Linked DNA regions of Caenorhabditis elegans. The protein of the gene in region 4 purifies or fractionates together with the protein of the main gene of each other region. This does not show direct contact. Each region holds a gene or a part of one and is shown on either strand. Other genes may lie near its edges. The genes, in order: dhs-21, lbp-2, F46H5.3 and acbp-1.

Region 1 (8,510 bases), on a different chromosome or scaffold from region 4:
TCTAGGATCTAGGATTTCTAGGATGGTTGAACTGATAATTGAACTTAGCAAAGTTTTCAGAAGAAAGATAGAAAAATAAAGTTTGAAGTGGAATGATATAATTAGATACAACTCACCTTTGCTGGCCATTGACTAAGTTGCTCCCATTAGAGCTTCCTGCTGAAGACATTCCCATTGTATTATTATTAGGAACATTAATTGAATTGTTGTTAAGTGCTGAACCACTACTGCCAACCGATGCTCCAACGTGATAGGCACAATGTTGCAGTTGAAGAGCTTGTTGAACTCCGCCTCCAGCTCCGGTTGTTCCGGAAGAAAAGGAAGAAGCATGTAGAGGCACCGTCGTGCTCATCTCTTTCTTCACGGAGCTCTTCGTGCAGCCACGCAGACTATGCGATATGTGCGGGAACACGGGCGATCTTCGTGAGGTCACGCCCTGACCATCTACCTCCCGAACTCCGCGCGGACACCGCGTGTTACGTCACTGACTATCTCCGCCCGCCTAGAAAAGGAAAGCACCTCTCTCGTTTCGAATGGACAGTAATCCTCACTGTACTTGAGAGAGCCATGGCCGCGGCCGCGACTGGCGCGTCCATTGTTTGCTCGATCACTCTCTCTTACTTTCATTTACTCTCTCAGATTTCAATTTCACTCATCTCTTTCATTTTTCCATCTTGTAGGTTAAGGAAGTACGGGGGGAAGTACCTAGTTACTGCCCCCCAGGTACTGACCACTGTCTCTGCACTCTTTGTTTATCAACACGGAGGTGAGGAAAACCGCTAGCTAAGCGGTGCCAGCATGTTGCAATAGGTAGCAAAAGTGAGTGTACACTGAGAAATGTGTACTTTTCTTTTTCCGCATTTTGACCTTTCTAGGAAATTGAGTACTTTTGGCGTATGTTAAGTGATACTTAGGGAGAGCATTAAACAGGGTTAGTTTTTACTAATTAAAAAAAAAGCTAAACACACATAATAAACAGTTATAATGAGTTCTAAATCATAACTTTACTGTCGTAATTATGCATTTACCGGAGTTGTTTTTCATTTTAACTTTTGAAATTTGTTAACAGGGAGTTTATTTAGTGAAAATGAAAAATTCAAATTAACTTAAAACTCTTAAGCTCTTAGTTCACTTGAGCTGCAGGATGTCCGTTATCATATGCCATTGATGGAGTATAGACAATTGTTGTTTGCATGTTTTGTGGAAGTTGAAGCATACCAGGAGCGAATCCGATTCCAGGATACATTGGTGGAGCTTGTGGATGACCATGAGCTGCACCATGAGCTGGCGAAGGTACTTGGTGGGGAATTGGCATGGGTTGAGGATGTTGAGCGACTGGAGCAATAGCATGATTAACTGGAGGATTTGGAGGTGTTGGTGGTGGTGGACTCTTTTTCTCTCCGGTATCCATTAGCAATGGTTGATTTTGGGTTGCGATGAAGACCTTGTTCTGTGTGGCGGTTGGATTTCCAGTTGGGTGATGTTGACGACGAATCCATTGATCAATGGCAAATCTTGATGAAACGGTTAGGAAGAAGGCAACTAGCATGAACAGGCTCATGAACAAACGAACAGTGTCAAATGTCAGAAGTTGAATTGCCAGTGCAGTGTAGTATACAGTTTTTTCATCGTCCGAGTTCCAAAGGTATGGCGCGAAAAGTTCGGCGATTTTCACATCTGAAAAGAATACGATAAAACCAATTAAAATTCAATTCAGTTGCAAAAACTTACAAAACTCAAACCATTGAGGAATATTCATTACAATTACAGCAGCTGCTCCAAAACCAAGACGGCTACGTGCATCATCGACAACTGGATCACCAGTCAGAACTGCCATGTTTGTTCCGGCTGCTGGTTTTGGTTTGCACATTAATCCAACACACAAGCACTGGAAAACATTTTTGATTTTCTATATTTAAATTTCATTTGAAGGTGGAATTGTTGAATTACTGTCAATAGATATGTGTAGGGGTGTAGAAGTAAAGTGCAAAACAATTACACTGAAAACGATCTTTAAATAGGATCACACCACTTGTTGGCTTCGGTTAAATTTTCTACTATTCTTTGGATTTTTTCACACTTTGTTTAATACCTCACTAATGTATAACTGGGCACTGATGTCCACCTTTAGAGATCAAAAATAGATTACCACTAGAAGCTCGGCAATGATTCCCACTGTGCACAAAAGGTAGGTAAAAAACAGTGCAGAAGCAGGAAGTGGGTTCCATTGGGATGCGATGAAATGATATGAACCAGAGAGTATAGCAGCAAAGAAGAGCACAGCAAAGTAAGATGTCCTGGAAAATATCGGAGGCATCAACTATTCATTTAACAAAAAATGTTATTCAAGATTTTTGCTGTGTCATTCTAACCATTTTCTTACCATGAATCACAAGGATTAAAGTTTTGTCTTTTCCTTGCAATTACAATCAACGCCGAGAGAAAAATCACAGATCCAATGGATGTAGTGAGGACTGCTGTAGTGTAAAACCAGTTGAAGAACATCAGAAAAACCATGTACCACCATCCATAAGCTCCAAGCATGATACTGTAGATAGCCAGTGCAATCTTGAACAGAGATGACAGTCCAAGTGGAATGTAGACAATAGTCAGAAAGACCTTCGTGATATCACGCTTCATTTTCAAAGAAAGCAGAAAGAAAACTGCGATGATTGAAACTTCAATTGCGGAGAGTCCAGCTCCAATTGGTCCTCCGTAAAATGCTTTCTTTGTGTAGAGTTCATCAGGAAAATCACAGCTTATCTTCACTTTTTTCTTCACAGTTGTTGAATTACAAAAAAGAGTGGTAAGTAAAGGAAGACCCGGGACTGGGTCCATGTCCGTCGACATGGTTACACGATCTTTATATCACTTCAATAGTTGGGATTTTATTGAAGCTGAGATTGAGAATAAGAAATGTGGCGAGTTGAGTGGCTAGATTGAACAGGTGAAATGCCATGTTGCTATGGTTACTCGTCACGAAGTTTCAGCTGTTCTTGGACGCAGATCTTGTGATATTGAAATTGGTTGTTGATGTAAAAAAAATTAAGACGGAGACACTAACGAAGCTAGCCAAAACAAACTTTTTACGGAAGGTTGAGCTTAATGTTAAGTGGGACATATACGTTTGATGGTACCTGAAACTACCAGGAAAGTATGATATTTTGCAAGTCTTTGAACTTTTGGGATCATTTTTGCTCTTGAACTCATCCTCTAATATATATCATAAGCAGCAAAAACAAAGTACTCGATTTTGCTGCTTATGATATACTATTTTTTGAAACGAGCGTTTTAAAGAAAATTGTGTACATTGTTTCGGTGCTCAATAGTTTCATTGTTACATACTTTGCAAAATGAAAGGGTTTTCCCTGTCGATCTCGAAATAGAAACCATTATGACGATCATCAATACACAATTGGACGCAGATTGTTAGAGGAATGGCATTGATAACAAAAATAGTCACAATATAAAAGTTGATCGTGTTGGGTAGAATGGGGTAGATACTACACATTTTCTGATATTCATATCATCTGACGAAACAATGCCCGCCAATTACGATTTCACTGACAAACGTATACTTGTCACAGGAGCAAGTCAAGGTAAGTCTTGAGATGTTGAAAAAGTTAAGATGGGTTGTTTCAATACAAACCAAATACACTTGTTTTGGGTTCCATTTAACAAATATGAAATTGAGATAGCTCACTACAGGAAATAGACTTGATATTTAGACAGAAAGTTATGTTGAGATAAGTTTTTGTACCACTCGGAGTTGGTGCCAACTTATTGCCCAACTTTTGACCTATAGTTGAAAACTTCACGGAAAACGTCAAATCTCTTTTCCGACGATTGTTCTATGTTTTGAGTTTAGATATGTTTGCAAGGTTTGAATTGAAGTTGACCAGGTTTTCCCTGGTCTAGTATAAGTTTATTTGTAGTTTGAAGTAAGGAAATGTTAAAAATTATCTGCTCAATTAAAAAAAACCATTAAACATTTGGAGCCACTGAATCAGTTTTCTGAAATCTCATGAAGATTTGTACTTTTTAAGTTTTCAAAATGTTTAATCCATATTAATTTAACATTTCAAATTTAGGCCAATGTGATAAAAGACCGATGGTCTCTCTGATTACTTCCGGTGTAATTATGATCTAGTTCAAATGGAGAGGAAAACGTTGATATACGATAATATGATAACACTATAATCTTTAATCAAAAATTTGTTGTATCATCAACATTTTATCATTCCGTTTGAAAATTATAATTATTTTACGATTATGTTTGAGGAAATTTCTGGCATTGAAAACAAGAGTACATCCTTCCTAGTCGGTAAAAAATATATTACGCGAACAAAGCTAAAAATAGAATAAAAATCGTTCATGAAGACTTCCGATGGGGTGATTGTGAATCATACATCACAATTTATCACATTTGCAGGAATTGGAAAAGAAATCTGCCTTTCGTTGGCCAAAGCTGGAGCGCAGGTTATTGCATTCGCGAGAAATGAAGCAAATTTGTTGAGTCTTGTCAAAGAGACTACTTCTTTGGTAAGTGAAAATATAAAATATTACACCAATCTGATTAAATTAATATTTCAGAGATATACAATAATTCCAATTGTTGGAGATGTGAGTGCCAATGAAGAGGTCCTTTTCAAACTTATCGTACCACATTTCCCAATTCATGGTCTTGTAAATAATGCTGGAATTGCAACAAATCATGCAATTGGACAAATTACTCAACAATCAATTGATAGAACATTTGCAGTCAACGTAAGGGGACCTATTCTCATTGCACAATTAGTTGCTAGAAACTTTGTGGATAGACAAATCAAAGGATCAATTGTTAATATTTCATCACAAGCAGCCATTCGTCCATTGGATAATCACACTGTTTATTGTTAGTTTAAAACTTTACTGAAATAATGTACATCTGAAAGTTCAGGTGCATCAAAAGCTGCTCTTGATATGGTCACAAGATGTCTTGCAAATGAATTGGGATCCCAGAATATTCGAGTTAATAGTGTCAATCCAACTGTTGTGATGACTGATATGGGAAGAGATGTAATAATTTTCAAATTGAAAAGAGAGCATAATTAGACTTTTTAGAACTGGAGTGATCCTGATAAGAAGAAGAAGATGCTCGACAGAATGCCGATCAAACGTTTTGCTGAGGTTGACGAAGTTGTGAATGCTGTCCTTTTCCTTCTTTCAGACAATGCTTCAATGACTACTGGATCCACTTTGCCTGTCGATGGAGGATTTTCGAATAACTAAAGTTTTTAATTTTAAGATTGAGACGATGTATATAGGTGAACAATAAATACATTTATTTACAAGAAGCTCGTAATTTAACATACATAGAAAAAAGATAAATAATATTTACTATTGTTTTGAATCTTTTCTGAACAACTTTTCAAATAATCCCTTTTTCTTCGGTGAGCTCGAGTTGCTCGGTGTTGACGCCTTGTTTGATTCCGAAGTTTGAGGAGGCAGATCTTCTGAATTTTCGGCTTCGTGAAGAATCTTTTTGAAAGTCTCTTCGTCTAAGGACTTCTCGTCTTCATCTTCATCTTCATCTACAGATAATTTTTCGTTTCTTCGATCCCAAAATCCACCAATTTCTTTCGTGATCTTATCATTCCATTGAATAGCGTCAAGAGACTTCTGACGAGCTGAAATTGTAGCAAAATTAAGAAATTAAGCTGGCAGTAAAAAGGTTTGTAAAAGACTGTGTTGAAGAAATATTCAAATTTTCGTTTTAAACTTACTAGATTTCATGAGAGTTCTGAGTTCAGCGGCATCATGTTCTTCTTGCTTCTTGGTTTCAGCTACACGTTGTTCTGCGTCTTGAAGAATACTGGAATACTATTGAATATGCGTAAAACTTTAAAAGTCTACAGCAGGGTTAGTACTTTTTTGGGGTTTGTTTATTTTTGTAATATTTCGACGAAAATTTGTTTTTTTTTTTGGTTTTTGTGACAAAACACCAAAAAACTAATTTTCTATATTTTAAACACTTTTCATATTTTACAAATGTTCTTTAGCAAACTGTGGTTTTCAGTTTTTGTAAAAAGTTCCAATTTTCGAATCCAAAAAAAATTTTGTTTGATTTTTTTTGGTTCGAATTTTTCGGTCCCAGTTCTACAGCTTGCTGACTGAATTTTATTGAAAAGTATTGTAATTCTCAAAAAAAACTGTATTTCAGTTTAATTTCAAATAAAAAATTCACCAACTCACTTATTAATCTCATTCATTTCTTCTTTCGTTGCTTCACTAAACTCTGTGTTTGCAGAAACCATTGATTCTCGTATTGAAGCATCATCTTCTCTATTTTTTTCTTTTTCATCTTCAAATATTTTCCTACGTCTTGCTTCAAGCTCATCCCAGTCTTTATGTTCCATTTCCTCTTCTTTTTTTTCAATTCTTGCACGATCTTCAGCTACTCGCATTAATTCAGATGGATTATTGGCGTTCATCGCAGGTTCCTTGGAAGAAGACTTTAGCCACTGAAATGTTAAAAATGGTATTTAGGCGTAAAAAATCAACTTCTGAGGTGGACGGCAATTATTTTCGGAAACTCTACAAAACGACCTACTGGCCAATGTTTTTCTAAAATCTTACAATAAAAATTAGTGTCAAAATATAGAAAACTATTTTGTTTGAAAGAAAATAACATGTATTTCAGTTGAAACGCTTGAGAAAATTCACGAAAACGGTCTGAAAGTTGTTAATTGCCGAAAACAGAGCTCTTTAATTTGATTATCTGCAATTTGTAACTTTAAGGTCATTTTAAACACTTTTTTTTAAATTTTCAACTGAAAAAATTATATTTTCAGATGAATCAAGTAATTTTCTATATTTAAGACACATTTTTAATTAAAAACATCCTTGTCCAACTTACACTTTGAGGATTACGTATCACTTCTACATCACATTCTCGAAGTTTTGCTAATCGTTCTTCAATTTCTGATATACTGAGTGGTTCAATTTGTGGTGAAATATCTTCTCGCAGTTTAAGTCTTCGCTGTTCCAGGTCATTGGTCGGATAATTTGGCTGAAAACTGAAAAATAAATTAAGAAAATTCCGTGACGCTAATTACCTTGGTCTGCTGCGATGGAATTTCTGGCGAATTCCTGAATTTAGTTGCTTTGACTTCACTATTTTTAATCTGATTTTGATTTGTGTGCGAATTCCTGAATGATGGCGGTGGAAGTCCATCACCCCACCAATTTTTATTCGATTTATTCGAATTATCTGGTAGAGGCGTTGATGTTATCTGAAAAAAATCGTGGGATTAATATCTATTTAGTTTTTACTTTGTTCTTTTTCTTACAGTCGCGCTGGGCTTCATTTTGGCAGATTCCAATTTTTGATAGCAATTGTTACAGACAATCATTGGTAAATCCGAAAGTGTGGGAATAATTGCACGATGAGGCAGACATTTCTTACAGAAGGAGAGAGCACAATTCGAGCAGCCGGCCTGAAAAAATAGAAATTAATTAGTTTTTGATGCCAGAAAATAACTTCTCTGTTTAATAATGAATATTTAGTTCTGCAGTTTGTGCAACAAATTGAGGAAGGCATTCTAGAGAAGAATTTCGGCATTTCGCAATGATACAAAATGAAGAGAATAAGGAAATGACGGTGAAATAACCGGTTTGAAGGTAAAAATGATAAAGTAGACAATTGAATTTTTCTAGTTCATTCTCCAACAATAAATTCACAACAAAACAAATCTGCCTAGATAAAAAACTAAAAGATATATCAAGAATACATCTAGAATCCTTTGCTGTAGAAGAATTGCTCAATAAGAACACGTGGAGCTCCTTTAATTTTGATACGACCTTTCAACTCATCGACGTGACTGGCGATCGAATGTCCAAGATGTTCTTCAAGATAGGAGCGGAGATCATTTTCGCAAGCCTGAAAGATATTTATGTTGATTCAGGATTTAATAATGTTCCCAACTTACAAAAATGTCTCCGTCGACGTTTCTGATAGTTACTAGCTCGACATAATCAAAATCCAACGTTTTCTCATTCAGTAAATCCCTTTTTCGTTCCAAATAAAGAGGAAGAAGATGGTCATGACGACGTCGAATGTAGTATTGATGTGTCTTGGCTGCTTCTGAAATATTTCGATGCGGTATGAATTTAATCTGTATATACCTGTCGGTGGTGTCCATCCGCTTGGTGTAGGATACTTTTCGTGCTCAGGAACATTCGGCACCACTTCTATTGGCATCAATCTTTCCACATACGACCAATCGATAGGAGCTTCTTCGACCGTTGCAAGACTTCTGGCTGTAATTGCTAGTAGAAAAATTATATGATAATAAATAACTTACACTTTTCAGGGAGAGCATGTTTCCATGGATTTTCCCAAAGTTTCTCAGCTTTTTCGACTGAAGTTGTTGAAAAAGACAACCTGGAAACTGCTCGAGGGGAGAAAATGCGGAGAGAAGAACCCAGCATCTTAATAAAATTATATAATTTTGAATAAAATCAAATTA
Region 2 (7,366 bases), on a different chromosome or scaffold from region 4:
AGTTGTGTGAGTTTTAGGTTCAAATACTGGAGTACAGAGATCAAGCGAGTCGCATTTACTTGCAATGTGCCTCATAATCTTTTGATGAAACAATGAGTCTGACATTTTTCTGGGATTCATAAAGCATCGAATATCGAAATCTCGGAACTCGTCGCAAATCGATTCAGTGCAATAGTTGTCTTTGTTTATTGCGAATTCATCAAGTTTTACTCGATTTAAAACATCCAGTAAGTGATCAACATACTTTCGTAATCCCATGCTCGGAATGCTCATCCAAATCACTCTACCAGTTGTTGAACTTTGGATTTTCAAATGCTCTCCGTTTCCGAACTTTTTCATTTTTTCTGGACCGTCAATAACTCCGTTGTGGATAAGTTGATCCATAAAAAACTGGGGATCTTCGACCGGAAGACTACGATGCATGTTGGAGAAAAATGTGAACTTGACTCGATCGTGGCGTTGGGTGACTTCGAATTTCCAGATTTGAACTTCCACAAAATCATTAATGTCTATTTCAACCACAGAGACGTTTCGATGCAGAGATTTTGCAAACTGTTTTGTCTTTTTCGAGACAAAAGAGAAATTCAATCTGAAATTGTTTAAATTTAATTATGATAAAGATAATAACTTACATTTCCAGAAGATCGCAGTGTTGAAGTGTGCATCGGAGAGCCTTTGAAGGTAGTTGTAAAATATTCATTACAGCAGAATGAGCAGTACAGACAAAATGACGGAGAAGGTTGAGTGGACGAAAGCGAGTGGAAGAAAAAAAGAGCAACTGACGTAAGACTATCCACTACTGTGCAAGATGACTCTGACGTACAAGGGAAAATGGACTATTCTGAATCGATATTAGGCAGCTGGCTTGTGGAGTATGGGAAGACACAGTTGACCACTGGAAATGCTAACCCGCGTTACCGTGAGTTACAATAATTCGTTGTCTACGTGACAATCCCTTTGCACGTAAGATATGACTAAAATTTCTCATTTTTAGACATATTCGTAATACATACAGTTGCAATGCAAAATGAAGACAAAGAAAATTTTGAAGGTAAAGCATTGTAAAGGAATTTTTAAAAAATGTATTTATTGTAGCAAGTGCCAAAAAATGTATACTAGCTTGTACGGACGTTTTTTTTTTTTAATTGATAAAAATATATAAAAGCTGATTTTTTCAAAAATTCAAAAGTATGGGAAAATCATATGGAGTCATTCTTTTTTATTTCATAAAACTGTTTAGCATAGTCAAAAATACCAGAATATGCTAATCAAAGTATATTAGCTTGTACGGAAGTTTTTTTTTTTAATTGATAAAAATATATAAAAGCTGATTTTTTCAAAAATTCAAAAGTATGGGAAAATCATATGGAGTCATTCTTTTTTATTTCATAAAACTGTTTAGCATAGTCAAAAATACCAGAATATGCTAATCAAAGTATATTAGCTTGTACGGAAGTTTTTTTTTTTTAATGATAAAAATATATAAAAGCTGGTTTTTTTCAAAAATTCAAAAGTCCTGGAAAGTCATATGGAGTCATTCTTTTTTATTTCAGAAAACTGTTTAGCATAGTCAAAAATACCAAAAAATGCCAATCAAGTATAATAGCTTGTACGAAAGTTTTTTTTAAAATTACATTTTTAGCACATTTTTAGCACATTTTTAGCACATTTCAAGCACATTTCTAGCACATTTTTAGCACATTTCAAGCACATTTTTAGCACATTTTTAGCACATTTTTAGCACATTTTTAGCACATTTTCAGCACATTTTTAGCACATTAATGGCACTTTTTTTTGTATGATAGAACATGTAGAATATAGGTGCTAAGTGATCTTTATCTCTGCATAAATAATTGAAACAAAATTAATGTGTAAAAATAGTAGAAAATTTTTTTGGTCCACTTTCAAAATTATGAGTGGCAATAACGGAGTCACTTTTCAACAGTAAATGAACAATTTTCCAAAATTATTGATATTTGGTCCTTTTGGCACCATAGGCGTAGTTTTTTGCCAATTTCCCACTGGTGCTACTCAACGTTTAGATGAAATCACATAAAGAAAACGACAACTGTAGTTTAAATAATGGTTGTTGCAGAATTTGGCAGCGAGATCATACTCTAGTGTTAAGTTTCTTACCTCAACATGTTCATTTTTTAATCTGTAGAAAATTAAAAACTAATAATTGGGATAATACATTCCACCAAGATTCCAAATTGAAAACATCAGAAGATTGCTTGAAAATAAATTTATTTTTTTCGGAAATGAAATTGAATTGCAAATTTAAGAAAATTTCAATAGAATAAGTTTAAACTTTTATGGGAGTCTCTTGTAGAATCTGCGGCCTTCGATATTGTTGAAGCTCATCTTCTGTAATTAACAAAAATGTATGTCAAATAGATTGACCAAATTTTACCTGAATAAGAAAATCTCCATCAAAGTAATACTCATAGGTTTCTTCCTTGGATTCTCCCTCTTCAAGTGGCTTGTGATGTTCGAACAAGTGTCCGTCCTTGAGAGTGAAGGTAACCTGAAAATTATAATTGAAATAAAAATAAAATAAAAAGTACATGGCATGGAACTCACCTCGTGCTTGGTGTTATCAAGACCCTCTCCTTCGAACTTGCTTCCGATCTGGACGTTTTTGTAGAACACATCTTTTTTCGATGTCAAGTTGGAGTAGTCGAAGAGGTTTTTGTTAGCATTCTTGGCAAAAACCTTCTTGAATGTCGCAAAGGTTACAAGCTTTCGAGTGAACCATCCGTATCCTTTGGCAGTGAGGTACTCATCAAAATTTTCAGAGTGATCCAAGTCGAAGGTTCCATAGAACTTTTCTGGAAGCTGTTCGGCAGCCACAAGGGTAGCTCCACAAAATGCGAGTAAGATGAGGAATTTCGAAGACATTTTTGTTCAAGTCAATGACTGAATGACTGAAGTGTCCACAGAAATGAAGATTGATCAAGACTCCGCCCAGTTGCTCAATCGACAACACAATAAAACTGAGGTCAGCCACGTGTGTAATATAGGGTCACGGCACGGATGGCAACAACAAATTGATGATCGGACTTACTTGATTTTCAAAAATCCTCACAACACCTGGAAGCTAATAATAAACAAAATTTAAGAGACCGAACGAAAACAATTCATCGATTACTTGTTGAAATGCAGAATGAATTTTGTCGAAATAAATTTAAACGCGTTAAGAAAATTGAAAAGAAAACTGCTACGTTTTTTGACTGCACATCAAACAATTTAAGACTTAAAAAAATATTTTTAATGAGGTCCTCAAGATCCAATGATTTTAGTTATTAAACTATGTATTTTGAGAAATGGTTCTTATTTAATGGTACCTTATTCAGAAATTAAATGTGAAAATCAGGAAAAAAAAAATAAAAAAGAGCATACGAAAGAGTAGAAAAAACTCCATTTTATAGAAAACTTTCGAACACAACATCGAAAAAAAAAAACCGAAAAGTGATTGGATTTTGACCCACCCGAAATTTTAAACTGGTTGTGTCCTTTTTGTGTTTTGAATTACGTTTTTGCAAATATCACGGCGCAATCGAACTTTCATGTTTTGATTCCAGCATAGGTTCAATTCATCTGATAATTTGATTCTTAATTTCAAGTCTTCAATGTGCAAAATTTTCTTTTTAACACTTGTGTCACTTTTACACGTTAACAAAAATTCAAATTTTAATCAACTTTGCTTTCTAGAACTCCTAATATGTACATTTTTAAACCAGTGAAAACATTTCCCAAACAAAAAACTTCAGAGGGCTATGCAGCATGAATCACAAAAGAACCGCGTTATTTTTCTTATTTTTTGCCCCATATCACATTACAGAATCGATCTAACTTTTCAGTTTATTTGAAACTTGAAATACATCAGTGGCAAAAAAAGTACATTGAGAAATCAATTCATACAAAAATTACAATAGTTTCTGAATATTTATGGGAGTCGTTTGTAGAATCGGCGTCCCTCAACTCCATTGAAACTCATGCGCTGAAAATTACAATCATGAGAATGTGAAATTGGTTTTTAAAAAATGTTTATAACTTACCACAAGAAGGAATTCCTTATCGAAAAGGTACTCGTAGGTCTCTTCCTTGGCGTCTCCTCCCTCGAGTGGCTTGTGATGCTCAAACAAATGTCCGTCCTTGAGGGTGAAAGTGATCTGAAAATTAATTAATTAATCAATTTGAAAGGTTACTTGAAAACTTGCAAAAGCGTACCTCGTGTTTGGTGCTGTCAAGTCCTTCTCCCTGGAAGGCTTTTCCAAGTTGGACATTCTTGTAATGGACGTCTTTCTTTGATGTCAAGTTGGAGTAGTCAAAGAGGTTCTTGTTGGAAGTCTTAGTGAACACCTTTTTGAATGTGGCAAAAGTGACAAGTTTACGAGTGAACCATCCGTATCCTTTAGCAGTGAGATACTCATCAAAATTTTCGGAATGGTCCAAGTCAAAAGTTCCATAGAACTTATCAGGGAGAACAGCAGCTGAAGCAGCTCCAACAAGAACCAGGAGAAGAGCGATTTTAGCGCACATGGTTGGCTAGGTCGATGAATGAACGACTGACGTCTTGGCAGGACTGTGGGCTGTGTGTCGACGTCGTCTGCGTGGACCCCGCCTACTTGCACAGTCGTAAACAACATTGTACGGCAAGAAGTGCAGCCCACATGTCGATTGCGCTGACGATTAGCAGAGATGGACGGCTGGACTCGGATGGGTATCGAAAGAGAGTGTAGCATAAATGATTCGGGGCAGATTTTTTTTGTTCCGTGTGTTGGGGTCAGTTCGGATATTTTTGAAGAGAGTAGTTGCATGAATCGGGTCCTGGAAGACCGAACAATCAACTCAAAATAATTTCGTTGAAGGTTTAAGGCGAATCGAATTGCAATTTCCTTATTTGGTTGATATAATTTTATGTTATCATTATCTTTCATAGTCTATAGTATGATTCTCCATTTCTTCAGCAAACATTGAATACGGCAACAGGTCTTCAGGTCTGCAGTTCAAAACACAATCCATGCAGGGCTGGGACTTTGGAAAACCAAAAAAAACTACCGGAAAAAATTATGAAAATTTTTATTCATATAGAATTCGACCCACAGAAAAAGAAAACGACTTCAGAAAAAAAGTTTTTTTGCCGCAGAATTTCGGTACATTCGGTTTTGGGTTTTTTTGGTTTCAAAATGAAAACGAAAAAATATTGTAAGGATCCCATAAAACACAATTTTTCAAAAATATTTTTAAACTTTCAACACTAGCTAAAATTTTTAAGACACAAAATTGTTTTTTTTTCTGGTTTTCAAATGTTTGAGCCCTATTCCCAGATGACAGAATTCATATTAGAGATCATTGTTTTCCAGATGGCCTTTCCCGTAAATTGGCCAATACGATTCTCACGTTTTATTGGGCTACAATAGACCCATCTACTTTGTACCTTGGCTAATCTGTTCTATGTCCACTTTCGATGTTTGACCTCCATCTGTTCATTCGTTTTTTTTTGTGAGATCATGCAATTTTTGAAAATGGCAGAGCAAGTCTAAAGGGACAATTGTTTATTTAAAAGGACAGAAAAAATAAACATCTGTGATTAATAATGTGAAGAGCTCAGTTTTATGTTGTGTTTATAATTTCTACTTCTTTCCGGTCGATCGCTTGAACCAACGACGGCACGTGATTCCATTGTTGACCATTTTCTAAAAATGAGAAAATTAGTGGAAGAAGTTGTAAAATGGAAAAAAGGAAAAGAGAACGAAGTACACACCATGACAAGTTGATCGTTCTCGATAGTGTAGTAGTACGTCTCCGCGCTGTGTTCTGGGTCGTTGAGTCGGATATGGTGCTCAGACAAAACTCCGTCTTTGAAGGAGAAGGTAATCTTAAATATAACAATATTTTTAAGACACTTGAATATTTTTTGAAACCTTGTGTGCAACTCCATCAAGGCCTTCTGCCTCGAAAGTTTTCCCGAGCTCCCACCCGTGGTAGAGTGTATTCTTCTTTGAAGTCAAGTTTTCCATGTTGTATTTTCCAGGAGTTTCATTTTTGGCCAGCACCTTGCTCACTTTTGCCAATTTGATCATTTGTCTCACAAACCAGCTCACTCCTGTAATTAAAATTACTATTAAATGTACACTATCAATTATTTTTACCTTTAGCAGCCAGGAACTCGTCAAAGTTCTCACTTCTGTCGAGATCATACTTTCCAAAAAACTTCTCTGGAATTTCAGAAGCCGCCTCAGCCATAATTGCTAAAAAGCAAAAGGAGAATAAAGTTAAGTACAGATTCATGACGAGTAAATGTATGAAGAATCGATTGGTCGCAAGAGCAGATGGACAATGATTTTATCTTGGGGGTTAGATCTATCTATATTCTTCTTCTTCACTTGATTTATTACATAGGCCCAATGGCTCGGTATCATTGAGATCCGAAATTGTGAGCATCTGCCTCATAGCCCTATGCTTTGAGTGTACTCTGGAGCACACAAAATGCACAAAATATATTACATTGGAATTTGGAAAGATTGGAAAAAAGTTAGAAAAAAAACAATTAACACAACTGGAGAATAAGAAAAAACAACTAAAATAAAAGGAAAACACTCTGCTATTACAACTAATATATTCAAATAGAACTGACAAAACGGGATGCGTAAGAAATGATAAGATGAAGTAGTGGTCGGACAGTTGTTATCAGTGTTGTTCTGCACCATCATCACTTGCATAATATGACTCCGCGCAGAACGGTCGGAGAAAACTGATAATACATTTGGTTAGCACACAGAAGTAGCAACTACATACAATTGATTTATGACGGTTAGAGGTTAGAAATAAAAATTGAAAACTGAGGCTGGAGAAAGCTGATCAAACAGAAAACTGTGGAACGGGGGAAACGATAATATGAAGAAAAAAATCCGCATTCCAAAAGCTAAATGTATTTCTAAAAGATTACAAAAACCAAGGGTATTCCTGCAAATTTGTCTTTGAAAAAATGGAAGAATACGGAAATGTGGTGCTGAAACGTATAAATAAAACGAATAGAAAAGGAACGATTAGACACCTGGAAAAACCGAAAGTCGCTGAACAATACAATTTTCGTAAAAGGACCGGTTTAGAACATTTTCAAAAAATTACTAAAATTCGAATTTTTTTCACTGTTTCTTTTGCCCTGTTTTTTATTGGTAAGTCTGCATTTTTAATAATTTTTCCATTGATGATAATTCTCCTTGGAATTCCAATTTGAATGGTTTCCATGAGCGCGACAGTATTACAAAATAGAGTTTTTGTATTCATGATATGTACAAACTCTGTACGTTTATTCTATAACATTGAATTCCAGTTATACTTAGAATGTTTTTTGCAA
Region 3 (9,179 bases), on a different chromosome or scaffold from region 4:
TTTCAGGGGGAATGGCGGATGTTGCTACCAAAATCCCAGATGCAAGTAGGTTCACCACTGATGTTGATATTACACGTTGTAGGGAATACCACTTTCAACAAATTTTTTGTTTCAGACTGGGTGCGTCTCGAAATTGAGCCAGTTCAAGTGAGCCATGATCAGGACGCCACTCTAAACTTTGCCACCGTCCAATCAGTGGTCCCAGGAGCACATGGACTCTACTACAGAGATGATGGAGAGAGAAAAGCTCTCCTGTAAGTGATGTAGTCCTTGCAAAGTGTCACTTCCGATACCCGTCATTTTAAACGGTTCACTGGGTTACCAATTAGGAGAAACCGCCACCTGCCGTAGTCAATTTAGTCATTATATTCTCGACCGTTTGTTCTCAGATCAACACAAAAGAATTGCGCGCGCCATCGTTCCATCAAAATGAAAAATGACTGTGTATATATGTCTTATCAAAGTTTACAATTCTTTTTAACCCTAACCCTAACACCAGGTGAAACGTGAATTGTCTAATTCAAAGTGATAGGTCAACGTAAACAATTTTCCCAAAAATCAGTTGATAATCCGAAACCGGTTTAGAACATGCATGTACATGTTTACAAATAGACAATCCGCGCAGAAATATGATTATATTAGAACAACATTTGCTGCTTTCCCATTGTCGATTAGCATTATCCAAATCCAAAGTTCCAGTCAGTCAGTCAACAAAACGTTTAACATTTTTCTATTTCAAGGTTCGACAACAACACCGGCAAGGTGTACCCACCTCCAAACGGATGGGATTCAGTGCCGATTTTTATCCATTTAGGTGAGAGACGACTTGTCGATACGAGAGAAAACATTAATTGGAAAACAAGAACCATAAATTTGCGACGGTGTCTAAGTTTTTCTTTCTTGCAGCACACGGATCACGCCACGGAACCCATTTTGCCGACTATTCGAAGGCCAATGACGCCTTTGAAAAGAACATTTCAGCTGTGCAGAAGCTTTTCGGTAATTGGTTCTATTTGGTTTACGTGGAATTTGGGGTTAAAAAGACCTATATTCGCAAAATCGTTTAGGAATGAGTATCATGCATGGGGCAAATCCAAACATGAAGCCCATTTCAAAAAAAAAAACGAATTTTCCGTTAACAGTGAAAATTTTCTTTATTGCCCCAATAGTTGCCACTATTTTCCAGAGCTGGCAATTTAAAATGGATTACTGTATAAAATTTGTTTAATGTTCTACCAATTCAAAATATTGGTTTTAATATTCTTGAAATTTTGACATATTTGACTGAGTAACATAAAAATCTGATCATCAAGCCAAAGTAGTATTTCGTGTTTTTTTAAGTGCATAGCTTTGTAACAGTTTTGAAGTACCAGCTAATTTTTTTCCTGCTCAATCAAAACACGATCGCAGCTGTGTAAACTGTGAAATCTCCAAATGCTTCAAAAGCGATCTGACATTTTTTGTCCAATTCAAACTTGTAAACATGTTGTCGGTCTCCGAGTGGTACATTTGTGACAAATTTGACCGGCGAAATTGAAACAAACAGAGAATTTGCATTATTTTAGCTGCCGCGGGACTTGGTGGAAGGTCACAAAAGGTGTATGCAGCTGGAAAGACCCGTGCTCGTAGTACTTCAAAGAAAAATCAGCCAAGAAGCCAGTTTGATGCTCAGCCTGAAAATGTGAATATCAGCGAGGAGAGCGAGGGAAGAGACTCCGAAAAGGAAAAGAACGACCGACAGCTGGAAAAGCTGAGAAACCGAAATGATGAGCTGAAAATTAGGTAATAACCCTAATTTCTCAATATGTTTAAATTTTTTTTTAATTTTTCAACTTAACAGAGTGAAAGAATACAAATCCGACTTGTCAGCCGCTCAACTTAAAGTCAAAAATCTTGAGAAAAAGTTGGAATCCGCCCAATCGGCTGATTCTGAAGAGAAATTCGTTCGAATTGATTCGGAAATCGACGAGAAACGATCCCAGGATCACGATGAAGAAATCAAGTATGATAATCAAAATGCACATTTCACGTTATTATTTAATTAGTTCTTTCAGCAACTTGCACAATGTCATTGAAGAGCTTCGAAACAAGTTGGCCACTGTTGAATCGAAAAATAAGGATCTTGAGACCAAATTCTCCGAGAATCAAGATTATTTGAAGAACGCAAAAGACAAGTAAAACATTTAAAAGTTCAAGAGTTAATCGGAAAAAAAATTATTTTAGGGTAACATTCTTAGAGAATCAACTCAACTCCGACGCTCATGAAGAAGTGAAGAGTACCGCCGTCAGAGCACTAGAGGTTAAACTCGGCTTGGCCAACAATTCAATTCGTCAAGCTGAGGCTGAGAAGCAACAGCTCCAGGAGGCTAACTGGTACGCGAACGAACGTGTCGGCAAGTTGGAACAGGAGAACGGATATTTGAAGGGAATCACTGAACAATTGAAGTAAGGCATTGAAATGACAAGCAATTTTTAATTTAGGGTTTTCTTTCAGGGCCAGAGCAGACACCTCACACGCTGAAAAAATGCTGAAGGACAGCGAGAAGCGTGTCTGGGAGATCAACGAAGAGAAGAGCAAGCTGGAGTGGCGTCTCGGTGAGCTCTCCCAATGGTGGAACGATGCAAAGTGGAAGGTCGGCGAGTTGGAATCCTCTGTTGCCCTACAGAGAAATTTGCTTGACACGGCAAACTCGAAGATTCAAAGCCTTAATGATCAGTGAGTTTTCTTTGGAGTTGGGGTCAGAGCAATACGAGATTGAATGTTTCATGAATTTAAAATATCAAAAACGGCGCTTGTAAATCATTTCATTACATAAAAATAAAAACGAAAAATTGCATGAACATCTTTGATCACTTTCTAGAATTACCCAAAAAAGGACTTTATAAAAATCAAAAACTGAATAAATTTTCAAAATAACAGATAGGAAACTTTAAAGAATTTTTTCATATTTCATTTTTAGGTTAATACAGGAAGTGAGGTAAGGAATACAGATTTTATTGAACTACTTGTAACTTAACGTCTGGAAAGCAATGCACTTTATATTTTTTTTTCTGAAATTTGCGGAGTAGTTGAATTGAAAACAATACTAACTATGTTTTGTTTTTCTTATTTAATTTTTAAAAATTGAAACGAGTGTACAGTGTATTTGACGGTGTGAATATAGTGTTCCTCATCCAAAGCAATATTTCATTCGAAATCGAAATTCCAATAATTTAGGAGTCACTCCAGCACCATGACCATTCCCACCGACGGATTCACCATTAGCCAAAGCAACCAAGGAACTTGGAACCTTGCCAAGTAAGTTATACCAGTGGTTCTCTTGATATCACTATTCCAAGTATTTGCAGCGGAAGTAACCAGCCATGTTTCACCGGAGCCATCCCATCCATCCCACTTGTCTCAGCCCTGCCATTCGCCGGAGCCAATCCATTCATTTTTGGGGGAGCTAACGAAGGAAGAAATGTAACGTTGACCATTTCGAACACAGAGCAGGAAGTTTACTTGACGGTAAGTTTTTTTTTGCCAAATAGGTCTTCATTTGATTTTTCAGGGAAGTTTTATCAACTGGAAATGCACATTGAAATGCGAGAAACTGGTTAGCGGCAAGAAAGGAGTCACGGTCAATTTGACGCGTGGAAGGTAACAACATTCAAATTCAAAACACAAATTTCAAGTAATAATTTTAGACACGAGTTCCGATTCATGATCAATGGCGAATGGGCGACGTCGAGCGACTATCAACAGGTGCCAAACGGTTTGGGCGGACAGAATAACATTATTTTTGTCGAATAATAATTATTCCCTTGATCACTTAAATTGAATTATTTTTTCTTACCTGTCAACTTTGTTTCCATTTACTTCTCCTCATTTTTTGTATCTTTATTTCTTGTTTGTATTACATACCACTCCATTCAAACTTATGCAGTTAACCACTCTATTCACTAGATTGTGTTTAGAAAATTGTGAAGATTCTGAATTTTTTCGGGACTTTTGGCATTGCCATGATGTGAATGAATATTTTCGGTTAATATTAATTCAGATTTCAAATAACTTTTGTTCAATATGTAAAGTTTTTTTACTTAATTTTTAATAATTGGTTGTTTTTTCTCAATTTTCCGAATTAAATTTTTCAATAGAAGATGTTACATCGATGCTCGAGAGTATTGTCACAATTTTTGGTAGGTACTTTGCAGTGGTTTTGTTTCACGTTGACAACTACCCTCAATACATAATATGGCGTTTTATGAAAAAATTATAAAGAAGTTAACATATACTTTCGGGCACAATTTTTGCAGTACTCTAACTATGTACTTGATTGAAATCTCAGCAATCAAGTAAGGAGCAAATAATTCAATTAATAAGTTCCATCCTCTTTTATTTAAAATAGTGTTTTTGCGCATTAATTGATTAACTTTAGAAAAAAATCAACAAACAAACAAATTTGGAAAATGTAAAAGTTTGTTGAAGATCTAATTTTTTCCAAGATAAATTAATTAATTTACAGAAAAGTTTTTTGTCCTATATCTTTTATTTAAATGTTTTTTTTTTCAAAAAGTTAAAATCAAAATATTCAAAAATATTATGAAAATGTGCTATTCAAACTGACGTCCTACACGTTTTCAAAAATTTCAAACTTTAAAACACATTTCCATATTCACCACTAGAAAAATATATATTTTTTTAAAGTAATCAGGTGTTAGTACTTGGAGTCTAAAATTTGCAAAATTGAAAGACTTGAGATAAAAATGAAAATGACGAATAATTGAGAATGTGCAAGAAATATTTTAATTAAAGGCTTCGCATGTGTGCTGAGTGTTTTCAATGTGTTCCATCTTTGTGTGTGGCTTATTTTTCAACAAATTTTTTTTCGACATTTGTTTTTTTTTCGCAGAAAAATAATATGAAAGTTTTGCATTAAAAAATGTGTTGATCAAAAATCTTTTCAAAAGGTAAAAAGGCAACTTTATTTTTGTCTGATATATAACATTTTGAAACACCTGCAAATGAAAACGCAGTCAAATTCCCATTGCACAATGTCTATTCGATTGCTGACAAAAATATACTTTCAGTATTCAAATTAACGTTAATGGCTCTTTTTGTTTGTTTACACTCCCAAAAAAACATTGTGTTCGTTCGAACCAACTGTAATAGGTATGAGCCTATTTCAATAATTATATTTTTGTTTAATTCCAGCAACAATAGTTTTTTATTTGGTGACACGATACATAATTTGTTTGTTAATCTGGTATTTTTGGAGTTTATTCCAATTTTGATTTCGCGCAATCAATGCAGTGAAATAAACTTTGTAAAATAGAAAAAAAGACTCTGGAAAGCTTGGTGATTATGTTCATAGCTAAAAATATCACAAGTAGGTTGATGTTTATGTCTAGATTGAGAATTAAATTATCTTGATAAAATCCACCATTTTTTAAAAACATTTTTCTCAACTTGAATATTGTCTAAATTATAAATTTTTAGTTAAATGTTCTATTTTTCTACTTTTCAATATAATTTGTAAAAATGTATTTTCCAAATTCTCTTGTTTTAGAAAATCCCCAAATCATTCAATTTTCAAATAACTCGGAAAAACTCAAAGTTTTATTACGCGGAGATCAACCTTCCTTCTATCTTCCTGTCTTCTCATGTAACTTCTTATCCCGTATCCCTTTTTATCACTTTTTCTGACTGTTTTCTACTGGCTCATCACAACGTTGCGTGAGCCTTTGGCCGATAGAGGTTAACTGTGTAAAGCATGTTCGGCAACTTCGGGAAAGATGGATGCCGATGAGAGCAGGAACAGATGGCATTCGACGGCAATGAAATAGCAGATGGCGGTATGAGAGTCTTTTGAACCTCATCCTCGTCGGCTACCACTTTCTTTCTTTTCACAACATTTTTTTGCCATACTCTCCGATGGCCGGAAAACAATTGTTGTGTAATATCCAGCGTTTGCGTGAGCCACCGAGTCTTGTGTCAATTCGAGTAGAGGAAAAAAGTGAAGAGAAATAAATTACCCATGTGTCAATTGTCGTTGGTCAAAGAACTAGACTGAAGAAACAAGAAAACGACCCAGAACCAGGAAATAACACGAGAAATGATGAACCTGTTATTTAGAGGAAGAAGAACCGTTCGAAATTGTTGCTCAAAGAGACAAAAAATAGTCTGAAAATGGTGCATTCCATTATGAGACTTTTCAAAAATCTCTCGGACACATTGTTGCAGTCTAAAAGTAACGTGGGTGAACGCAGAAAAAATCTTCAATTTTTCCATATGGATGTGTCGGCTGGATAAAAAGCAGGGCTACATGTAGATATGCATAACAAGTGAAGTCTAACAAGTTGTTTTTGGCGATAAATGCTGAATCGCAAGCCACTCACAAACTAATTATTTTATGGAAGTACAGAAAAAAAATTATTCAATGCCACGAGATTTGAGAAGAAATCAAAATTTTAAAAATTGGACTTTTGCACACCTTTCAATTTTTTGTGTGTTTTTTTTTAAGTGGAAAATCTAACGAGTAACTGAAAGTAAATATCTTTTCGAACAATTGAAATGAGAAAGTGTATAAGTATTGAAAAATCTTTTTTTTTAACTTTGATTACTTTTGCTTCTCGAGTTAATAATGGGTAAATTTACAGATTTGTCATAACATACAACTTGTGCTTGTTTCAAGCAAAATGTTTGAAACTTAATAATTTTTGGCAATCGAACCAATCGAGAATTACCTTTTTCAGTTTTGCACACCCCACTTTAATAGTATTTTTTCACCTCGGCACATCTTGAAATTGTAGTAATAATAATTCAGTACAGAAATAAAAGAAAAAGGTTAAGTTTGTTGTGAATTATACATTTTTACATAGGACACAAAAGAAATAAAATCCCCCGAAGATTAATAATGGTGCGTTTATTAATAGAGGTTATAATGTTTTTTTTCAACAGCGCATAACTGTGTGTGTGTTTCAATTTTTTTTTTAATTTTGTAGCGAGGCAATTGAAAATATTTATTCAGATAGTATTATTTTCCAAAATGAAAGGATGAAACCGTGGGGAGGAGGCGTGAAAATAGATAATCCTTGTTGTGATTAGTGGCACATTCAAATATATTCGATAAGCCGTATTTGGGACAATGGTTGCCAAGACGACGAATACCTGAATTTTATCCAAATCTGAACGAATATTTGGCAGTGTTATTTTTACCTTGATACTTATCAACCTGAAGCTAAAGTAATCTGTTTTTGTTCATATCCAGGCTCAACATATTTTTTTTCTTCTGGAAATCTGTCGTTATAAGTTTTCATTTTCATTGTTCATTTCTTGTAATCAAAATAATCAGAACTGATGTTCAAAAACCACTTCTTTATTTTCTACCAAGTTATTCATCATTATCTTTCACAAAGTCTTAGAAGACATTTGAAAGGTTCTGAGAGATTTTATAGGTTCTGATATCAAATCCATTCAGCACTTATCAACTGTTGACAAACAGTTTTTCATTTATTTGCCACGTCAATTCAAGTATATCCACGATTTGATATATCTTTCCAGCACGCACAGCCCACACAACCACCATGCACAGCGCAGAAACCAAACCGTTTCCTGCTCGAACTCTGCATCTCTTTGTCTCTCGCATTTCAATTGTCTTCCGCCTTTCTTTCTCAATTCAGTAAGTTCATTTGCCGAGTATTTATGAATGGGAAGAAAGGGGAGAAGGAAGGACGGGCGCCGCGGATGATGGCAGAAGGCCCCTCGCGGACCTCATGCTCTTTCTCAATTCCCGAGACACTAGGCAAGATGCGGAGTCGTAGATCCGACTGGCAAACAACTTTCTTCTCTATCCAATGTGTTTTGTGTGCGTATGTGGCAGTTGGCAAGAAGGCAAAAAAAACGCGCGGCGCCCTCCGCGGCACACTAAACCGAGAAACCGAGTGAAATGGGAGAAGAAAGTGTGTTACAAATCGGGAAGCAATAAGAAAGAGAGCAAGAAAGTGAGCTTCAGTAGTAACATGTTTGTATGTTCTTGCTTGTACGTGGCCTTCTCCCGATTGATGGTCATTGCAAAAAACGGTGTGCAGTCGCGAAGTGTTTGGGGTCACGTACACACCTGTAGAAAGGCAATCAAAAGTACAAGGACAGAACTGTAACTTAATATTCTACCGGAAAGTGTGTCAGGGCAACGTGCACGGCATCAAATCACAATTGGATAGATGCCGTTTCTCCACAGCCGTTATCTGACCTCGCGCACTTTGTAAACAGTTGAAGGAAAATAGAAAGAGGAAAACGACTGTTGGTCAGATGTTATACATCTTTCAGTTTCTATCACTATTTGGGTAGTAAGGTCAACAGCTGCTTCCGGTCAAGTCAACTGGAATTGCTGAAGAGTTTACTTTTTACAATATCAAAGGAAAACTGCAGATGAACGACAGACTTGTCTGAAAACTGAAATGACTTGGTTTTCAATTCCTTATTTAGTCTCATAATGCTCCGTGAGCACGAATTAAGGATCTAACACAATTCGCAAGTCAGAAAACGGCTTAATTTCGAGTCGCTCTGTTGTGCCCGGCTTCGTTAGCGATGTGTGGATCGTACATTCACAATACAATTACTGCAAAACTCCTGGATACATCGCCAACTGACTGTCCCTAGATTTCGATTATCCTGTGTAAATTGTTTTTTGGTGACACTATTTGCAAAAATCAACATTTTAAGAACATTTTTTTCCATGATTTCATAGTATTTCAATTTATCACATTTGATAGATGATTCACCGAATCAGAAACAAAATACATTTTTGTTTCACACTGACAACAATCAGAAGACCAGTGCCACGTCATTACAGCCCTATGTTTCGTTGTCCAATATTACACCGAGAATTGTGTGACTTTTTGTGCGGATCAAGTTACCCTCGGGAGAAAAGAGAATGGCATGATGATGCAAATCTGAAACTGAGACCAAGTGACAATGTGCATTCTTGTGCAGATTGAGGGTAAAATAATCTGAGTGAAACGACATACTTCAACACTTCAACATCTGGAATTGTATTGAAGAACTCTAGATAAGAATAGCGTTATCAGCAATGATGTACATCTGTAAACAAGCCATTGTTGTCAGGCCTCTAGGCTTTCAGAAGTGATCGTTTGATTTTTTTTTTTGTAGAAAGTCTACTATGTAAATTGGCAGCAAT
Region 4 (7,397 bases):
ATGGAATCCATATGCACAAAATTAGAAGAAGTCGAAGAAAACTTGGAAATATCGATTGATTCCATCATGATTCGCCATTGTGGTTCAATTGCACCTTCGGTTATAGATGTCATTATAGGCATCCAAACATCCGGAGAAAATGTTATTGGAGGTAGATTTACAAGTTTTTTGATTAAAATTCGCATTGCTTCGCAGATAATGTCGACATCGCTGCTTACATCTGGAAAAATAATAGATTCAGAACGGATCAGGGTTTTTTTTGTTGGAAAAAAAAGGATTTTTTTGGTGTTTTCCACCCAAAAAAGCATGTAAATAAAATCATTCTAGAATTCCTTACAATTTTCAACAACCCGTAGTCTGTAAATAATTGCTGCAATCGATTCTCCGTCGAAATCCTTTGCCGCATTTTCGGTGACATATCGGACAAGTCCGATTGCCGTTTCACGCGGATCCATTAATCGAAATTTCAATTAATTTTGTATTTTCTGGAAATAATTGATTAGAAAATCGATATAATATTTCAACAAAGCAAGATGTATTGCGTTAACTTTCGCAATCACGAGGCAATATAAATAAACAAAAAAGAAATACAGAGGTTTTCTTTGTTTTACAAAGTTTTATCAGCTGAAACTTTTGTTTCTCGAAATTTTCGTTATTTTATTATTATTTTTAATCGAAAATTCATCAAAATTTCCCATCTCAACAGAGGAAAAACAGAAGAACAACAAAAAAACGAACAAAAATAATAAATAACAAGTGGGCGGAGCATCAATTGCGTGCGCCGTTTTTGCATAAAGTGTGTGCCAGGGTTGCAAAAAATCATTTTCGAAACTTCAAACTCATTGCACACATTTTTTATATTTTCTTTTTATCGGTCGCTGTTATTCCTTTATTTTTTTACATTTTTTAAAAGAAAATCAAATTAAAATTAACATTTAATATTTAAATAATCAACTTTTGGAAAATATACTTCGAGAAAATCTCAAATTCCCTAGTTTTTAGGCGTTCTAGGCCTAATTTCACCTAGTTTGATTATGTTCAGTTTAATTATCGAGCAATCAACTTCAGGAATTAGAAAACACGTTAAATGAGTTTTCGCATTACTGAAAGTCGAAGTTTGAAGTAAGATTTGTTCCAAAATGTTACATGCCTTGTTTCTTCTGTTTCGTTTTCGTTTCTGTTGTATTCTCTGTTAATTTGTATTATTCAGCAAGAAAATGGGTGAGACCGCTGCCGCCGTTCACGACGATGCTGATCAGAAGATCATTAAGCAATTGGAGTATTACTTCGGAAACATCAATCTTCCAAGAGACAAGTTCCTCCAGGAAAAACTCAAGGAAGACGATGGATGTAAGTTGTTTTTCTTCAATTCTAAGATTGTTGATTTTTCATTTCAGGGGTCCCAATTACCACGATGCTCAATTTCAACCGCCTAGCCTCGATCAGCAAGGACACTGAAAAGATTGCCAACGCTGTCAAGAACTCTGGTTCGGGAATAATCAGCGTCTCCGAAGACAACCAGAAAATCCGCAGAAACGAAGAGAATCCAGTACCGGAGAACTCGTTGGAGTACTGGCAAAAAATCAAGCACAGAACTGTGTATATGGTACGTTTGTATCTTTCTGATTTTGTCTTTACATTATCAATTTCTCATTTTTCAGAAAGGATTCAGCACTGACACCCAATTGGACGACATTATTCAATGGGCCAATCAATTCGGAGAAACCGAGAACGTTCTTATGCGTCGCTTGAAGCCAGGAGACAGAACCTTCAAAGGAAGTGTGTTCATCACTTACAAAACTAGAGAGGAGGCCGAAGCCGCACAAAAGGCTGAAGTTAAGTTCGGAGAGACAGAGTTGACCAAGATGATGCAAGATGAGTATTGGACTCTGAAGAACAAAGAAACCAAGGAAGCTCGTGCTGCAAACAAGGCTGCCAAATCAGCTAAGAATACTTCTGAAGCGATTGAATCAGAAAAGGCTCAGCACGCTGTCCGTTACGAGAAAGGTCTCATTCTGGCCGTTGATGGACTTGGACCTGATTCAACTATTGACAGCATCAAGACTTTCTTCAAATTGCACGGATCTGTTGGATACGTTGCACATGAAAATGGAGGCAAAACAGCCGAAATCCGCTTCAACAATGACAGCGAAGGAGCGCAGAAGGCCTGGGACAACGCTGTTGCAGCTGGAACTGATGGAAAAGTCATTCTTCAAGAGGCTGAGCTCTCCGCACGAGTTTTGGATGGAGAAGAGGAGGAGAAATACTGGACAGAGTTCAATGCCAGAAAGAATCAGAGGCAAGGAGGTGGACGTGGAGGACGCGGTGGTCGTGGCGGACGAGGAGGCCGCGGTGGTCGTGGAGGTCGTGGTGGAAGAGGTGGACGCGGAGACCGCCGAGGTGATAAGCGGTCAGCAAACGATGAAGGTGCAGATGGATCTGATGAGCCAAAGGCTAAGCGTACTGTGTTCGCTGAGGATGGTGCTCCAGCTGCTGCTGCCGCCGAGTAATTTCATCTTTTGTTGAACAAACCCAAAAATCTCATTCTTTTTTTTTTACTTTTTCCTCCATTTTTTGTTGTTATCATTATTGTTGTGTTGTCCCCCCATTCATTAATCTTGAATACCCTCATTTTGTTGACTTCTCACTCTTTTTAACATCTCTTTTACTGTATTATTACCAATTTAAAAGAGTTGCGGTTTTGATTTATAAATTATTCGGATAAACCAAAGTTTTAGAGTAGCAGACCGGAAAAAAAGAAATTGCAGATCACTCGGAACAGGGAACATGGAAAATGCATTCTTCTGAAAGTTCAAGTTTGCTGATCAAATAGGCAACTTTATGTCTAAATTCTTCGGAATCACAGAATCTTCATTACAAAAATATAAATGTTAAAAAAACGTATTATCAAACAGAATTTATTTAGGCTCCGTACTTGGCGATGAGCTCCTCAACAAGAGCAACATAGGCCTTCTGAGCATCATCCTTTGCGAGTCCCTTCTTCTCATCCCAGGCAGACCACTTGGCTTTTCCCTTCAAATCGAACATTCCTGGCTTATCGGTGGTGTTGTCGCCGACGGTTCCTTGTTTGAACAGAGCATAGAGCTTGAGAAGCTCATCATTCGATGGGGAAGTCTTGAGGGTCTTAACGGTGGCAGCAGCGTCGTCGAACTGAAAATTGAAAAGACTTAGTGAGATTTTATTGGGAAAATATCAACATTTTGCTTCAAAAAATCTAAAGTAGTCTCAAATTCAGAAAAAAATCGCCAAATTATAAAAATGTCTCTTTTTCAATTTTGACTAAGTTCCCTCCGCTATTTTGAAGGGAATTTGCCAACATTGAAAAATCACGGTTTTACAATTATTGCTTTCTGTTGTTGTCATTATTCTGAATTTGAGATTATTTTGGATTTTCTACATCGGAATTTGAAGCTTACCGAGAGGGTCATTTTGAAGACGATGAGAAGAGCTTGTTGAAAGTTTGAACCTGAAAATTAAGAGATTTTAAAATAATGAAACATGAAAAATAATGATGAAAGGGCACTTTGTATATTGTATTTATCTTGACGTACACAACCACGCACTAGAAGTATACAGTCAGAAAAACGGACACTCTTATCATTTGTTATCACTAAAAAATCGTATCAATTTTTTGAGAATACAACAACGTTTCGTGGTCAATATCAAACTATGTGATCACACCATCACAGAAGAAGGACAAAATATGAAAATGTTTAGAAAAAAGAAAGAAATTTTGGCAATTTTCAGTTCTTTTCTTGAAAAAAATTATTAACTTTTGATAAGACACCGATGGTTTTAGCAAAAGCGTTATTACCTAATCGCCAGCAATTGTTAATTTAAAAATACGGTGCCGGGTCTCGAAGCGACTGAAACTTCACAGCTACAGTACTCGCATGTTCAACAACTGCATAGTTTTTGCAATTAAGTGAAGCTGGTGGGTACTGTAGCTGCAAGGTTTCGATCGTGCCAAGACCAGGTGTCGTGTTGTTGCGTCGAAACTCGCAAAATTCTGCAATTGAGTAATAGGAAAAAGTTCGTTTTTTTTTTTGGGCAAAGAAGGATTTTTTTTTGGTTTTTCGATCTTAAAAACTCTTTAAAAAATTTCAATTTTTGGTCGGAAGGAAGAAAAATTAGATTTTTAAAAATATTTTTTAGTTTTAATAGTTTTTTGGTGAAACTCTTGATCGGGAGCCCTAAAAACAACAATTTTTGATATAAATAATGGAAAAATGGAGGAAGTTGAAATTTTCTCATTGAATGAGCTCCGTATCTTATTAAAAACGGATAAAGGCCACAATTTTTAGACTTTCTCAATTTTGTTGGAAATAGAAATTTGACTACAAAACTATAAAAACTCCAAGTTTCACCCACCAATAATAAAATTGATTTAAAGCCTAAAAATAAAAAAACAGATTGAAATTAAAAAAAAAAAGACAAACAAACAAAGGAAGAAAAACATCAAAGATAAGATAATGGGAATGTGAACCCAAAAGAAGAAAGAAAAAATGTTGACGAAAAAAGAAAATCCAAAAACCATTTTATAGACTTTTTAAAAAAGCAAAACCTGAATTTCAATAAAACCGGAAAGAAACTTAGACACGTAGAGAACTTAGAGAAATCATTACTTGGTGACGTCATGGAGAGCTTTAGCCAAATATGCAACATTTCCAGTATTAATACCAGAAATAGAAATACGTCCATCATTTGTCAAGTACACTGAGTGCTCTTTGATGAGCTTTTGAACTTGTTTCTCATTGATTCCAGTGAAACAAAACATTCCAATTTGATTGGTAATATGATCCCAGTTGAGAGTAGATCCTTCAGCTTTCAGGCCGTCTTTTAGAGCCGTACGCATTGATTTGATACGGTCAGCCATTAGTTTCACATCTTCCAGCCTGAAATAATCATTTTTATAGATTTCGTTTTTCCAATATTTCAAAAATAAAAAAGATCCATTTTTTTGAAAAATAGCTAATTTGCCCATTATTTAAATATTTTTAAAAGCAAATTTTCGGCAACTACAGTACTCTTTAAAGGCACACACTCTTTGGAATTTTAGAAAATCAGTCGCTTAGAAACCGGTTTTTCGCAAATCTCATTTTTTTTGGTCCAAAATTATTTTTTTCAGTTTCTGATCTTTAAATTTCTGACTTCACAAACTCAGAAACTCCTACCAAGATTTCTTCAACTCTGGATTACTCAAAATCCGTGAAGCAATTCTTGCTCCATGAAGTGGTGGCATTGAGATCATTGGACGAATGATAATTCTCATTTGAGATCCAACACGAATCGCTTCTTCAGCAGAATCACAAACAATCGAAAATGCACCAACACGTTCTCCGTACAATCCCATATTTTTTGCAAATGATTGAGCAACGAGAACATTGTGTCCTTGTTCTATGAAATGACGAAGAGCAAATGCGTCATCGTCAACGTCTCCTGATGCAAATCCTTGATAAGCCATATCGAAGAATGGAAGAATTTTTCGTTCTTTCAGCACTTGGCTCAGCTTTTTCCATTGCTCCTTCTGAAAATTCAATGAGTTTTGAAAAGTTTTATTGAGTCTTCAATTTAAAAACTATTATTTTTGTTTTAAGTTAGTTATCTTCACAATATCTACAGTGCAAAATAAAATATTAGGTGAGATTACGGTATCTCGTCACAAAATAAGTTTTTTAGCACTCGAAATTTCGCGCTAAAAATACGGTACTTGGTCTTGACACGAAATTTTTTTTTGTTAAATGCGAAAAGGTATGCGTCTTTGGATAGTACTGTAATTTTAAACTTTCGTTCGCATTTTAATGAATTTTTAATACTTTTTCTGAAGATTTGTTAAGCATTTAGTGCTTCTATTTTTTGTTCGCTTTTTTCAATAAATACATTTTTTTTAATGGCAAAAAAGAAAAATATTTGAAAATTCCAAAGCGACTAAAGTTTGAGATTACAGTACTCTTTAAAAGCGCACATCTTTTCGCATGTAACAAAACGAATCTCGTGGCGAGACCGGGTACCGTATTTTTGGCCCGAAATAATAACAAAACAAAACATCACAACAAAGCAACATACAGTAGGATCAACACCAGTTGGGTTATGTGCACAAGCATGCAAAAGTATAACAGATCCTTCTGGCATCTTTGAAATATCTTCGAGAGCTCCTTCAACATCAAATCCAAGAGTTTCTTGATTGTAGTAACGGTATGGTTGAATCGAAAGACCAGAATTTCTGAATAGAGGAGGTGAGGGTGAGAAGTGGACAACAAGCAACAGAAACAGAAATTAACAGGGGAAAAAATACAACAAGTGCATGGAAATTTTGATTTTTTGCTTTACGGAAAATCAAAAAATCGAAAAGTATGGTTCTTCGATTTTCTCTTCAAAAAAACCCGATTTTTTTCCTCGATAAGAGTGTAGCTTCTTTGGAAAATCTAAAAACAAAAAAAAACATTTTTTTCGAAAACTATTTAGCTACAAGTTTTTAAAATTAAAAGCTGCAAATTCTTGTTAATTTTCAATTTTTTTTCGATTTTTTGTTTTCCCGAAAATCGAAAAATTTTCGTTTTTCGACTTTTCGATTAAAAAAAATAGATTTAAATTTTTAAAAAATATGATTTCCGAAAAATAAAAATAAAATTTTAAAAAATTTACCTAAAAACTGGCAAATGATTAGCCCAAGTTGGTGTTGGATAAAACAAAGTCTTGGATGGAATAAACTTTTCCACAAATTGTCCTCCAATTCTCAAAGCACCAGTTCCGGATATCGATTGAGTTGTGAAGACTCTTCCATCGCGAATCACTTCGGAATTGTCGCCGAAAGCGAGTTTCGCAGCCAATGGCGCAAATTCTGGAACTCCAGTGATTGTTGAGTACTCTTTGTCCATTTTAGCATCTATAATTTGCTGCTCAGCTTCGCGGACCGCTCGGAGCACGAATGGTTTTCCCTGAAAATAGAAAATTACAATAATTTGAATATTAAATCGAGGGTGAGACGGCAATCAAAAATTTTTGGACATCGACATGAATCGAGTTCAAAAATTTTGAAAAAAAAAACTCAAAAAATTTTGCAAAAAACTAATTTTCACTGTAGTAAGTGTTTTTGGTGAAGAAATATAATTTTTCCAACTTATTTTCATCAGGGCTGTGACACTTTTGGTATTTTATTTGGTTTATTTGGTTAATCGACGAAAAATTGATTTTTTGGTGTTTTAGAACTAAAAAACCAAAAATTGTTCACTTTTTAACGGTTTAAAAAAAATTAATTCAAGCATCATTTTTTTTTGGGTTTTCGCAAATTTTAATTTTTTTTTCTTGGTCCCAGACCCTAATTCTCATGATGAAAATTGGATTTTTGGCAGAATTTTCCAAAATTCCGCAACCGA

Evidence for each region.
Region 1: the proteins of acbp-1 (region 4) and dhs-21 fractionate together in Caenorhabditis elegans (co-fractionation; one large-scale study listed by BioGRID). This does not show direct contact.
Region 2: the proteins of acbp-1 (region 4) and lbp-2 fractionate together in Caenorhabditis elegans (co-fractionation; one large-scale study listed by BioGRID). This does not show direct contact.
Region 3: the proteins of acbp-1 (region 4) and F46H5.3 fractionate together in Caenorhabditis elegans (co-fractionation; one large-scale study listed by BioGRID). This does not show direct contact.

What each region holds. Positions count from the first base shown.
Region 1 is NC_003283.11:12,728,593-12,737,102, reverse strand, and holds dhs-21 (L-xylulose reductase), read left to right. Parts: upstream 1-3,457; 5' UTR 3,458-3,541; coding exon 3,542-3,599; intron 3,600-4,432; coding exon 4,433-4,542; intron 4,543-4,593; coding exon 4,594-4,894; intron 4,895-4,939; coding exon 4,940-5,058; intron 5,059-5,103; coding exon 5,104-5,271; 3' UTR 5,272-5,336; downstream 5,337-8,510. Other genes in the region: PAS domain-containing protein cky-1, read right to left, coding at 117-352; xbx-9 (XK-related protein), read right to left, coding at 1,124-1,677, 1,732-1,888, 2,150-2,297, 2,384-2,850; zfyv-19 (FYVE-type domain-containing protein), read right to left, coding at 5,380-5,669, 5,766-5,854, 6,235-6,503, 6,899-7,051, 7,098-7,274, 7,332-7,478, 7,523-7,582; mrpl-49 (Large ribosomal subunit protein mL49), read right to left, coding at 7,775-7,921, 7,971-8,125, 8,167-8,301, 8,346-8,472. UniProt on the Caenorhabditis elegans protein: Catalyzes the NADPH-dependent reduction of L-xylulose, D-xylulose, L-(+) erythrulose, D-erythrose, D-threose, L-ribulose, 1,4-dibromo-2,3-butanedione and 2,3-heptanedione.
Region 2 is NC_003284.9:3,256,337-3,263,702, reverse strand, and holds lbp-2 (Fatty acid-binding protein homolog 2), read right to left. Parts: upstream 3,094-7,366; 5' UTR 2,902-3,093; coding exon 2,584-2,901; intron 2,528-2,583; coding exon 2,414-2,527; intron 2,368-2,413; coding exon 2,314-2,367; 3' UTR 2,233-2,313; downstream 1-2,232. Other genes in the region: fbxb-71 (F-box domain-containing protein), read right to left, coding at 1-589, 633-700; lbp-1 (Fatty acid-binding protein homolog 1), read right to left, coding at 3,950-4,003, 4,062-4,175, 4,234-4,545; lbp-3 (Fatty acid-binding protein homolog 3), read right to left, coding at 5,640-5,702, 5,771-5,884, 5,931-6,112, 6,159-6,297. UniProt on the Caenorhabditis elegans protein: May play a role in sequestering potentially toxic fatty acids and their peroxidation products, or it may be involved in the maintenance of the impermeable lipid layer of the eggshell.
Region 3 is NC_003284.9:7,233,624-7,242,802, reverse strand, and holds the start of F46H5.3 (putative arginine kinase F46H5.3), read left to right. Parts: upstream 1-4,140; coding exon 4,141-4,179; intron 4,180-5,757; exon of another isoform or gene 5,758-5,901; intron 5,902-9,179. Other genes in the region: F46H5.7 (AMPK1_CBM domain-containing protein), read left to right, coding at 12-45, 116-254, 741-814, 907-999, 1,566-1,782, 1,841-2,002, 2,055-2,174, 2,224-2,445 and 6 more.
Region 4 is NC_003279.8:4,632,893-4,640,289, forward strand, and holds acbp-1 (Acyl-CoA-binding protein homolog 1), read right to left. Parts: upstream 3,488-7,397; 5' UTR 3,450-3,487; coding exon 3,438-3,449; intron 3,172-3,437; coding exon 2,923-3,171; 3' UTR 2,854-2,922; downstream 1-2,853. Other genes in the region: ubr-4 (UBR-type domain-containing protein), read right to left, coding at 1-220, 338-455; ssb-1 (Lupus La protein), read left to right, coding at 1,218-1,350, 1,398-1,606, 1,662-2,510; got-2.1 (Aspartate aminotransferase), read right to left, coding at 4,643-4,916, 5,196-5,548, 6,088-6,244, 6,667-6,959. UniProt on the Caenorhabditis elegans protein: Binds medium- and long-chain acyl-CoA esters with very high affinity and may function as an intracellular carrier of acyl-CoA esters.